3 linked regions of the Lonchura striata genome follow. The protein of the gene in region 2 interacts with the protein of the main gene of each other region in a pairwise test. Links are inferred from orthologs where the notes say so. Each region holds a gene or a part of one and is shown on either strand. Other genes may lie near its edges. The genes, in order: SPRY1, OTX1 and GRN.

Evidence for each region.
Region 1: the proteins of OTX1 (region 2) and SPRY1 interact in binary tests that used the Homo sapiens proteins (3 or more experiments, as listed by UniProt). The two-hybrid records come from large-scale screens. The link is inferred for Lonchura striata from reciprocal best matches to the Homo sapiens genes OTX1 and SPRY1.
Region 3: the proteins of OTX1 (region 2) and GRN interact in binary tests that used the Homo sapiens proteins (3 or more experiments, as listed by UniProt). The two-hybrid records come from large-scale screens. The link is inferred for Lonchura striata from reciprocal best matches to the Homo sapiens genes OTX1 and GRN.

The regions. Positions count from the first base shown.
Region 1 is NC_134606.1:69,052,693-69,056,432, reverse strand, and holds the start of SPRY1 (protein sprouty homolog 1), read left to right. Parts: upstream 1-1,214; 5' UTR 1,215-1,350; intron 1,351-3,125; exon of another isoform or gene 3,126-3,169; intron 3,170-3,494; exon of another isoform or gene 3,495-3,506; intron 3,507-3,740. UniProt on the Homo sapiens protein: Inhibits fibroblast growth factor (FGF)-induced retinal lens fiber differentiation, probably by inhibiting FGF-mediated phosphorylation of ERK1/2. Inhibits TGFB-induced epithelial-to-mesenchymal transition in lens epithelial cells.
Region 2 is NC_134605.1:870,873-874,612, reverse strand, and holds the start of OTX1 (homeobox protein OTX1), read right to left. Parts: upstream 2,375-3,740; coding exon 2,278-2,374; intron 1,767-2,277; coding exon 1,615-1,766; intron 968-1,614; coding exon 212-967; 3' UTR 1-211. UniProt on the Homo sapiens protein: Probably plays a role in the development of the brain and the sense organs. Can bind to the BCD target sequence (BTS): 5'-TCTAATCCC-3'.
Region 3 is NC_134627.1:2,570,787-2,574,526, forward strand, and holds the start of GRN (progranulin), read left to right. Parts: upstream 1-1,316; 5' UTR 1,317-1,399; intron 1,400-1,405; exon of another isoform or gene 1,406-1,523; intron 1,524-2,186; 5' UTR 2,187-2,200; coding exon 2,201-2,290; intron 2,291-2,362; coding exon 2,363-2,434; intron 2,435-2,532; coding exon 2,533-2,617; intron 2,618-2,703; coding exon 2,704-2,807; intron 2,808-2,889; coding exon 2,890-3,037; intron 3,038-3,163; coding exon 3,164-3,270; intron 3,271-3,740. UniProt on the Homo sapiens protein: Secreted protein that acts as a key regulator of lysosomal function and as a growth factor involved in inflammation, wound healing and cell proliferation. Regulates protein trafficking to lysosomes, and also the activity of lysosomal enzymes.

The sequences.
Region 1 (3,740 bases), on a different chromosome or scaffold from region 2:
AAGTTTAATGAAAAACCACTGTGCTGCTTCCACAAGTGTGAGCTGGGTGTGCAGACTGTCACAGAGTACCACCTTTGTGGTACAATCCTGTTTGTAGGGATTGTTTGCTTTTGGATGTATGTTCCTGCTAAGCAGCTCCACATATCCTTAGCACATACTTCTTTTCTTTGGGGCAAAAGGTGGGAGAAGTTTTGTTTTTGGTTTTTTTTTTTTTTTTTTTTTTTTTTTTTTTTTTTTTTGGTGAAAGAGATTGTTAGTATGGTTCAGATAAACTTAAGGCTGAGTGGTGTTTAGCCAAGTACTGGAAGTCTCAACTATTCCAATACCTTACATGTTGTTATGAGAATTTGGATGTGCTTCATATCACTTTCCTGTTCTTTTGGTGGCCTAAATACTCTAAAATATTCTAAATATTAGAATACTCACTGAGAAAAACCAAACCCCCAAAAATCTTACGTCAAATGTAATATCTGGCCATAAAACTACTGACTTGGAAAGCATCCCTGTATCTCCTTGGCATCATGGCAGGGATGCAGTCGTGACCTTTAGATCGGACCTTGCCGAGGCAGGGCTGGAAAGGTGGGAGACAAGACAGCCAGGTCGATAACCAGTATCATCTCTGCTGCAGTGACAGCCGATGGGAAGAGCCTCTTCCTATCTCATGGCAGGATGGCGAGAGGGAGTGCTTTTCTCGGGTCCTCAGCCGCCTCCGCAATAGCCTGAAAGAAGCAGAAAATACCTTGTGAATATAAACGAAGGGCTGTTCCACCTGGCTTGAAGGGCGCAGACGGCAAAACGCAGAGAGGAATCTCTCTGTAACTCTGTCAGAGGAGCGTGGCAGAACTTCAGCCCTTCAGCAGAGCCCTGTGCCCGCCGGTGCCGCGGCAGCTCCGTGAGCTCTGCCCGCCCGGCCGAGCGCAGGCGGGGGCAGCGTGTGCGAGCCGGGCAGCTCCGAGCTCCGCCGGGCCGAGCCCGCGGGGCGCTCCCTCTGCCGGCGGGGCCTCGGGGCCGGGAGGAGCCGCGGCCGCGGGACAGCGCGGGGCCGGGGCCGGAGAGGGGCAGGTCCTCCCTCCTTCCCTCCTCAATTCCCTCCCTTCTTCTGTCCCTGGCGGCCCGCGGGAGCGGCTCCCGGCGGGAGGGCGGGGAATCCACGCCGGGATTTCGGAGGCACACTGACATCAGGGGGGCGCGGCCGGCGGCGGGCGGGGGCTGCGCGCTGAAAGGCGGCGAGGCGCGGCCCGAGTCACTCCGGAACGGCGGCGGGGCAGCGCGGAGCGGCTGCCGGCACTGCCCGGGCTGGATCCGCGCCGCCAATGTGCCGCGGGAGGCGGGCGCTCACCCCGGCCCTAGGTAAGCCCGGGCGGCGCTCGCCGCGCCGCACACCCACCTCCCGCCGGGTCAGGTGCGGGCGGGCGGCCGGGGCTCCCCGCGCCGCGCTGGGGGCGGCCGCGCTGCGAGGCGTGCGGGAGGTGCGGGCGAGCCGCGCTCGCTGCTCCGCGGGGCACCGGGCGGGAGAACCGGGGCTCGGCTCCCCGGGCCGGCAGCGCTGAGTTGGGCGCGATTCGCTGCTCACAGAGAAGCTCCGGGTCGGTACTCGCCCGTCCCGCCCGACGCGGGGTCTCCGGCGCGTCGGAGCTCTGCGCGACCCTCTCGAGCCTGCGGAGACCTCGGTGCCAGACTGCGGCGTGCGGGGTCGCCCCTCCCCGCCGCGTCCTGCCCCTGCCCCGAGCCTGTCACTCGGCCCCCGGCAGCGACAGCCAGCACATGGCTGTGTGCGGCGAGCTCGCAGGGCCATTGCATTGCGCTGCCTCTGGCTTCGTTCGCAGTTCGCTGAGTTCTGCCTGGAGAGCTAGAGCCGCTTCTTGATCGCTTTAGAAAGAAAATAAAAAATCAAAACGAAAAAAAGCAAAAACCCAACCGAATCTTTCGCACCAGAGGTTGTGGTTGCACTTTGCCAGACGGGACTTGCGGCAAGGACCATGCGGTGAAGCCGAGCGCCGGAGCGGGACCGCAGCCCTGCACTCTGCGATCGCAAAGGGAAATAACAAACAACCGGAGCAGGAGCCGCGCACCCGCCGCCTTTTCACAGAGACCAGCATCGCAACAGCCCCGCTGCCTGCCGCAGCCTGCAGCCGCCTGAGGCTCCATCCAGATACTCCGCTTTGCAGGAAGGGCTGGATTTGCTCCCCGTCGCCTCCGGACCGAGAGAGCCGTGGCCGAAGGAGAGCGCCGCTTCCACGGGCGGCCGGGGCCGCTGCATGCTGACCCCGGGAGAGGGGAGCTGAGGTGGGCAGGAGAGCGGGGCTCTTCTCTGCTGGCCTAGTAGGACGTGGAGATCGGCGAGCGAGGGCTGCGCGGGGACTAGGAGCGCAGCCCGCCGGCCCTCCCCTCCCCGGGGGCCGGGAGAGCGAGGAGCCGAGGCCCCGCCGCCCCCCGCCCGCTGGATTTGCCGTTCCCGGTGGCTGCCTGCACACCCGTAAGTTGGGACCCGCCGTGCACTCACTCGCGGGGCCGGCGCTGCCGCAGCGAGCAGGTGCCGCGGGGCGCTGCGGCGCCCGCCCGGTGAGGGGCGGCCCCGACCACCCTCCCACCGTCCCCCTCCCGGAATGGAGGCACCGGGCTGCTGCGGGAAGGTTTACTGGGGATCGTGGCCGGCTGCGAACGAGCAGAACGTCAAAAACATCCCCCAGACGCTCCTCGCAGGTGGGGGCTGGAGGGGCTGAGGCGGAGGGTGCCGAGCCGCAGCGCGGGGCTGAGCGGCCGCTCGGCTGCCGCTTTAAGCGCCAGGTAATCTGCTCTCCCGAGGCAGCGCCGGGCTAAGATCTGCCTTCCTCTGGGGAAGAGAGAGAGAAGGAGAGAAAGAAAGGGAAAAAAAAACAACAACTATGTTTTCATTCATAACTTTTTTTTCTTCCCCTTTTCCCCTCCTCTTCCTTCCTCTCCGTCAGCGCCGTGATCCGCTCCGCTCCGCTCGGGGCGCAGAGGGCGCCGCGCCGCCGCCGCCCGCCCGGGGCTGCGGGGAGCGGGGCGGAGCAGGGCGGGACGGGGGCGCTGGCGGCGTGTCCGAGCGGGTGTGGAGAAGGGGAGGGAAGCGGGATCCCACCCCCGACGGGCGGGGAGGGAGCGCAGCCCCGGGTGCAGAACCGTGAGGGCTCTCGCCGCCTGCATCGTACGTTATTTTATTATTTTGTTTTACTAATTTTTCTTTTATTGTCCGGGGGGAGAAGCAGTTTACGAGCGATCTGCGCGGGGGTGGAGGTGGCTGTTCAACTCTCGCCCCGGTCTGCAGCTGGGCTTGTCAGTCTGCGCCGCGTTGATGTTGCGCTTTCCCCCCAAAGATGGCACTGGACGTCTTTGCATTTTCTTGGGATATTGTTTTTCATCCCCTAGGGAGCCCAGCTCCTGACTGGTACAGCTGTAAATCTTTCCCTTTTCGCATTCATTCAGCCTTGGTCTGTTGTGGATTTGTATTCAGTGCTCATGAAGAAGGCTGCTTCTTGTGTGGGGTAGGAGGAAATTCTTTGCTGGAGGGTGGTGAGGCACTGGCACAGGAAAAGGCTGTGAATGCCCCATCCCTGGAAGTGTCCAAGGCCAGGTTGGATGGAGCTCTGAGCCACCTGGTCTAGTGGAAGGTGTCCCTGCCCATGCCCAGGAGCTTTGGGACTGCAGAGTCTTTTAAGTCCCTTCCAACCAAGCCATTCTGTGATTCTGTTCTGTGAATTAGAAGTGAGAGTGTTTGG
Region 2 (3,740 bases):
AATAATTATAATAAACCTGGTGGAGTGGTGCAGGAAGCAAATAAATATCAGTCAGTAGAGATGGGGGCGGCAGGACCTCCCCAGGACATCGCCACTGCTAACGAAGAGGGAGGAGGAGGAGGAGGAAGAGCCCAGAGTCCTGCCCGGGAGGCGGTGGGGAGTCCCCGCGTGGGGGACCAGCGGCAGCTTCGGGGGGATGGTGGCCGGTCCCTCACAAGACCTGGAAGCGCCAGGACGCCTGGTCCTTGTAGTCAAGGCAGTCGGGGGAGTTGAAGTTGAGCTTCCAGGAGGCGGCGGCGGCGGCGGGCTCCTTGTAGTCCAGGCAGTCGGAGGAGTTGAAGGGCAGCCCCGTGCCGCCGTAGCCTTGGTGGTGGTGGTGGTGGTGGTGATGGTGGTGGTGGCCCGAGCTCTGGCTCAGCGGGTGGTGGTGGTGGTGGCCCGGCACCGAGGAGGGCCCCATGGGGCTGAGCTGGTGGGGATGGTGGTGGGAGTGCATGGGCGCCAGGTAGGAGCTGCAATCCACGCCCCCGAAGTAGGACGAGGAGGGCGGCGCGGGGTAGCCCTGGCCGTAGCCGCCGCCCTGGCTGTAGGACACGGGGTAGGAGGCGGAGGCGGCCGAGGCGGCGGGGCCGGCCCGCTGCATGCAGGAGGCGGCGGCCGGCGGCAGCGGCTCGGGCACCGTCACCCCCGCGGGCGCCGCGCCCGGGGAGATGGAAGCGGGGCTCCAGATGGATGACGCCGGCGTGCTGAGAGAGGCCGGGGCGCCCACCGGCGCCGAGGAGGCCGAGCTGGAGGAGGAAGACGAGGCGGAGCTGGAGGCCGCTGCCGGCGGCGTGAACTGCCCGCTGCTCTCCGAGCCCGAGCTCTCCCGGGCGGGCGAGGATTTCTTCTTGGCCGGGCGGCTCTTGGCCCCGCCGCCGCTCTGCTGCTGCTGCCGGCACTTGGCGCGGCGGTTCTTGAACCAGACCTGCAGGGACAAAACGGGGCGCAGGGGAGCAAGGAGCACGGTGGGGTGAGCGAACAGCCCCGAAGGGCCTCCTCGGCCAACCACCCTCAGCCTGGCACCAGTTCTCCCGGTACCACTAACGCTGCGCACCCCTCACACCCCTAAATACAATCCCACATCCCACCCCTGCCCGGCAACCCGGGCACCCCACAGCCTGCCAAAAGCAAGGGTGGCCAGGGTCAAAGTCTGTGGTGTCCCAGCTCGTGCATATCCCTGGCACAGTGACAAAATATGGATTTGGGGGACAGATCCTGTGTTGGGGGCTGCCTGCATATCCTGCCCTCCTGGGTATCCACTGAGCAGTGCCCAAAGGGAATTCCTCTGGGAAGCACCCAGCTGGTAGGGCTGCTATACCCTGGAGCAGGTGGACGGTGACAGAAAATATATTAATAAAAATAATACAAGAGAATAAAAAATAAACGCTCCCTCTTTGGCTGAATGTGCCCACAGTGGGACAGACGAGCAGATGGGAGCCCACACACATCCCCATCCCAAGGAAAGAGGATGAGTGTGGATGGAGCAGCCGGTCTGAGCAGCGCCAGCTGAGCTGGGGTGGTCCTGCATCCCCATCCCACAGCGGTGCAGGATTCCCCCCGCAGGCCCGGTACCTGGACTCGGGATTCGGGCAGGTTGATCTTCAGGGCGACCTCCTCCCGCATGAAGATGTCCGGGTAGCGGGTCTTGGCAAAGAGCGCCTCCAGCACGTCCAGCTGCGAGCGGGTGAAGGTGGTGCGCTCCCGCCGCTGCTTCCGCGGGGTGGCTGCGGGAGGAGCACCACCACGGGGGTCACGCCGGGCCCCCCCGCACCTCCCGCACGCCCCGGCACGGGGGAGCCCCGGCGTCCCCGGGACAAGGGCTGGAGGCGCTCCCGAAGAGCGGCAGCGTCCCCGCACACCCCCGGCTGCCGCAGCGCGTCCCGCTGCCGGCAGGGCGAGGGGCGCAGGGCTGGGCAAGGGTCAGGCCTGGCTCCAGAGGGAGCCACGGCGAGATTTCGTTGTGTCGAAATTAATTACTTTTTTGTGTTGTTATTGTTCAATCTGAAAGTTTTTTATCCTTAAAAATCCCTGGGAAAACGAAGACATCCCGGGAGCAGGGGGAAAATCCAGCTAGACCCCAATGTCCCCAGGCAGGGGTGCAGGCAAACAACCAGCCCACCACCCACCCTGAGCCGTGCGGCCCCACCAGCTCCTCCAAACCCGCACGGATGGAAGTTTTCCCCCTCCGCTGGCTGGAGGGTGGGGGACTGGGGGGCCGCGGTGCGCGGCACTCACCCGGATACCCCACGGAGGGATGCAGCAGGTCCATGGCCGGGCCCGTCAGCCCCAGCCCGTTCATGCCGTAAGGGGGCTGTTTGAGGTAAGACATCATGCTAGAAGCCGGGCAGTTTTCCTCCAAAGTCCAGCAGGAAAAAAAAAATCAAAAATCAAATCGAATGTATGCGGTGGGGAAGGGGGAAATGAAAGAAAAAAAAAAAAAAAAACTGACAAAAAGAGCCCCCGAAAAAATCCCCAAATAAGAGACCAAAAAAAAAAAAAAATTAAAGCCAACGACAATTTTAAAACGGAGCACAAAGTCGGCGTGAAAAGAGTTTTTTTCGTTCAGTCCTGCCGTCACCGCCACGAGGTCCTCGAGAGATAGCAGGTGAAGTGAGAGAAAAATAAAAACGAAGGGGAAAAATAAAATCAAAATAACAACGAGGATCGAGAAGCAGGCGGATTTCTTCCCCGCGCAGAGGCGAGGCCGGAGCGCCTGGGGAGAGAGCGGAGAGAAGCGGGTGAGGCTTCGGCCGCCCGGGGCTCCCGCGGGGCTGCGCCCGCCCGGCGCGGGGGCTCCGCGCGGGCGGCTTCCGATTGTTAATTTTATTATTATTTTATTTTAAACGAAGGCGAGTCGCGCGCAAGTGCCGAGAGGCAACAGTGCCCGGCGATCGGGACAGATAAAGCAATTATTTAAAAAGATAATTGGATTAGGAATCAAAAGGAGGTATCAGAGGAGGGAAGTATAATTAATTTAAAAGCGAGCAGACGGGGACGTTTTAATTAGAAATGGATAAGAGTTAAAAAGGGGAAAAGGAAAAAAGAGCGCGCCGGCAGCCGAGCGGCGACAGCGCGGGCAGCCGGGACGGGCCGGCGGGGGACGCGGCACCGGAGACCCGGCAGCGCCCGGCCCGGGGCAAAATGCCGCGGATACCCGCGCAGGGGAGGAAGGAGCCGAGAGACCCCGGGCGGCCCCGTCGAGCCCCGGGGGCAGCCCCCGCTCTCTGACACGACTCCCCCCAGCCGGGGCGATGGGGCACCCGGGCCGCGGGGCGGGGGATGCCGGGCGGGGGTCGCGGGGCCCCCCGTAGGCCGGCGCCGGGCGCAGGTCGGGTGGCGGAGCCGGGACCCGGCGTTGCATAACTTTGTCGGGGACGCGGCGGAGCGGGCCCGTCCCGGCAGGAGAGAACGGGGAAGAGGAGGAGAATAAAAGTGAAGAGAAGAGAGGGAAGGAAAAAAAAAAAAATCCCGAGGCAGCCCCGGCCCGGCCGCCCTCACCACCCCTGCCCACGGCGCCGCGGGCCCGCTACGCTCCGTCCCGGCGCCGCCGCCCGCCCCGTCGGTGAGCGCGGTGCCCACCGCCCCCGCCCGCCTCACCTGCGCGGCCACCTGCGGAGCGACTGAGCGCCCGCCCGGCGGCCGCGGCGGGGGCTGCGCGGGGCAGCGCGGGGCGGAGCGGGCGGGGGGCGCGGAGGGGG
Region 3 (3,740 bases), on a different chromosome or scaffold from region 2:
AGGGGATTTCAGGGTGCTGGAGTGGGAATTGGATTTGGGGGTCTAAGGAGACGCTGGGGGCTGGGAAGGGAGTGTGGAGGGAGGTTGGCATGGGCTGAAAGGGATTTGGAAGGGTTGGGAAGATCAGAGGGGGTTTAGGGGTTTGCAGGGGATTTGGGGTGTTGGAAAGGGAGGTTTGGAGTTTATGAAGGGTTTGGAGGAAGTTGAAGAAGTTGAGGGGATTTTAAGGTTTAGGGGGTGTCAGAGTGGAAGAGGTTTTGGAGTGAATTTCCTGGGACGGGGGTCATTTGGGGGACTTGGAGGCAAATGAGGGAGTTGGTGTAGGAGGGGAAATGGGAGTTAAGGGAATGTTTAGGATCGGTTGGAAGAGGGGTTTGGGGAGGTGGAGGGGGTTTGGAGGGGCATTGGCATTGGAGGGGATTTAGGGGAGCTTGGAGGGGGTGGGAAAGACTTGGAAAGGAAGGTTAGAAGTTTTGGGAAGGGTTGGAGAGGTTGAAGTGGTCTTTGGGGCACAGGGGCTTGGAGGGGACTTGGAGAGGATTTAGGGCCACTTGTGGGCATTGGCAGGGAGGATGGGGGAGTTGGGGGGCAAAGATTGGAGTTTTGGGAAGGTTGGGGATGTTGGGGAGGACTGGAGGGGGTTGACGGAAATTTGCAGGGTTGGGGAGGATTTGGGGGCCTGGGAGGCACTGGGGCTACTGCCTGCCCTGGGAGCGAGGTCTGGAGAGCTCCAAGACACCAAGGGGCAAAACCCTGAGACCCGGGCAGGGGGATCTGTGCCCCTGATGGGCTCTGTGCCCCTGGTAGGCTCTGTGCCCCTGATGGGCTCTGTGCCCTGATGAGGGGTCTGTGCCCCTGATGGGCTCTGTGCCCCTGGTGGGCTCTGTGCCCCTGATGGGCTCTGTGCCCTGATGAGGGGTCTGTGCCCTCGTGGTGTCTCTGCCTGTGAGAGGGGAACTGGGGCTCACACAGGAGTGCTCCAGGCTGCAGACAGAGGGGTCCGTGCCCCGGGCAGGGCGGTCTGTGGGTCCGTGTGTGTCCCGGGCAGGGCGGTCTGCGGGGTCTCTGTGGGTCCGTGTCCCGGGCAGGGCGGTCTGCGGGGTCGCCGCCCCGCTCCCGCTCCCTCAGGCCGAGCCCCCCCCGCTCTCGCCGCCCTCAGCCCCAGGGGGTCGGAGGGGGGGGGGGGCTGGCACGTGACCGCCCGTCACGTGGCGGTGTGAGGCGGCCGCCGTGCCCGCCCCCTCACCCCGGGCTGGCCAATGGCAGCGCGGCGGGTGCGGCGGGCGGCCAATGGGCGGTGGGGGCGGGGCTTGCGGCCAGCGGTGGGGGGGGCTTGCGGCCGGGACCGGGAGCGCTGGTGGGGACCGGGAGCGCTGGGACACACGGGCATAGCCGGGAGGTACCGGGAGCACTTGGAGCACTGGGAGCTGCCAGGAGGAACTGGGAGTCTCGGGAGGAACTGAGAGTCACGGGGGCCACTGGGAGACACTAGGGCTACTGGGAGTCATACGGACGACTGGGAGGTGCTGGGAGCTTTGGGAGGAACTGGGAGTCACGGGAGGAACTAGGAGGCACTGGGAATCATGGGGCAGCACTGAGATCCACCGGGAGGTCCTGGGAGTCATGGGAGAGCACTGGGGGTACTGGGAGCCCTGGGAGCACTGGCGTTACTGGGAGCACTGGGGATACTGGGAGCACTGGGAGCACTGTGGTTACTGGGAGCACTGGGGGTACTGCAGTTACTGGGAGCACTGGGAGCCCCGGCTCTGCTGCTGGGCGATGTCGGGGGTCAGCCCAGCCCTGCCCGGGGGGGGTCGCAGGGGTGGGGGTGCAGTGACACCGGGGTCCCCCCGAGCCCCCCATGGGACACAGCCCCCGTGGCCGCGCTGGGCGGGGCGGGAGGTGCCCGCAGCGGGGAAAGGGAAGTGAAAGTGACCGTGACCGTGACCGTGACCGTGATTGTGGGACGGGCCCGTCCGGCACCGCAGGGAGATGTTATCGGGGCGCGGTTGGGGTGCCACACACCGCAGGGTGTCCCGCTCTCCGTGGGTGCCCCCAGCACCCCGGGGTGGGGGAGCTGGCTGAAGGGGGGGATGGGGCTTTCCCAACACATGGCTGAAAGAAGAAGTTGAGAACTGCCTGCCCGCACAGTGAGAAGGGAAACTGAGGCCGGGGGGTTCCTGCAGGTGCCCCCAGAGCCATGAGGACCCTCCTGCTGCTGTGGGTGGCCCTGGCCAGCGCGGGGGCCCAGCTGCCCTGTCCCCAGGGGGGACCCTGCCCCATCACCCCGGTGAGTGCACGGAGTTTGGGGGGATCGGAGGGGCCTCAGCAGGGGATGATAACCCCTCCTATGCCCCCCCAGGCCCTGCCTGCCCGCAGTGCAATGGGGTGCCAGGACCGCTCATCCTGCCCCGCCAACTGCCAGCTGCCAGAGGTGAGCCCCCTCCCCTGTGCCTCAGTTTCCCCCTGTCCCTGCCGTTTGGGGGGCACTCCCTGACCCCCCTGCGCTCCTTCCCCCTTCTCTCTCCCCAGAGTGTCCCCTGTGCCGGGGGCCACCGCTGCTGTCCCCGAGGGTCCCGCTGCAGCACTGATGGGGAGTCCTGTGTCACAGACCCAGGTACAGGGACACGGGGGGGTGGCGGGGGTCAGGGTGGGCCTCAAGGGGACAGGATGGACACGGGGGTGCCTCACCTGTCTCCGCAGCCCCCCGTGCTGTCCCCTGTCCTGACGGCCAGTCCGAGTGTCCCGATGATGCCACGTGCTGTGTGACGGGCAGCGGCGCCTGGGGGTGCTGCCCCATGCCCCAGGTACGGGGTGTGGGGACACGGGGACGCTGAGGGGGGGGCCTGGCACGGCCGTCGCTGTGACGAGCATGGCTGGCACCCGCAGGCCTCGTGCTGTGCTGACAAGGTGCACTGCTGTCCCCACGCCACCATCTGCGACCTGGCCCGCGGGCGCTGTGTGTCCCCCGCCGGTGACACCGACATCCCCTTGGGCACAGCCTTCCCCGCCTGGAAGCGCCTGCCCCCTGCCCCAGGTAAGGGGTGTGCCCGGGGGTGCCCTCACTGTGCCGGGCCCTCGGAGGGGACGCGGTGACACCGTGTGTCCCCCCAGTGGCGCTGTGCCAGGGGAGGGGACGTGGTGACACCGTGTGTCCCCCCAGTGGCGCTGCGCCAGGTGCTGTGTCCCGATGGCCGCTCGGCGTGTCCCGATGGGGCCACCTGCTGCCAGCTGTCCCCAGGGCAGTACGGCTGCTGTCCCCTGCAGAACGTGAGTGCTGGCACAGCCCTGGGCACCCTGGGATGGGCAGCTGTGCCAAATCTGTGCCCAGCACCCCAAACCCCCCACCCCCCACTGAACACCCCAAAACAAGCACCCCATGCCAGACACCAAATCCTAGCCATCCTCCACCAGGCACCCCAAACCAAGCACTCCTGTGCCAGGCACCCCAATCCAGCCACCCCTCACTGGGCACTCCAAACCAGCACCCCACACCCCAACACACGTCACTCATCCTGTACCCATCCATGCAGGCACCCCATTCTGGACATCCCAATTCCAAGCACCCTACAGTGATGCCAAGCACCCTATTTTGGGCAGCCTGTCCCAATCATCCTACACCAGACACACCTTGTTGGGCATCCTGTGGTGGACACTGGGCCCTGGGCACCCCAACCTGTGCCATGTCCCCATACCAGGCACCCTGCACTGCCCCACGTGCTGTGCACACCCTGTCCTTG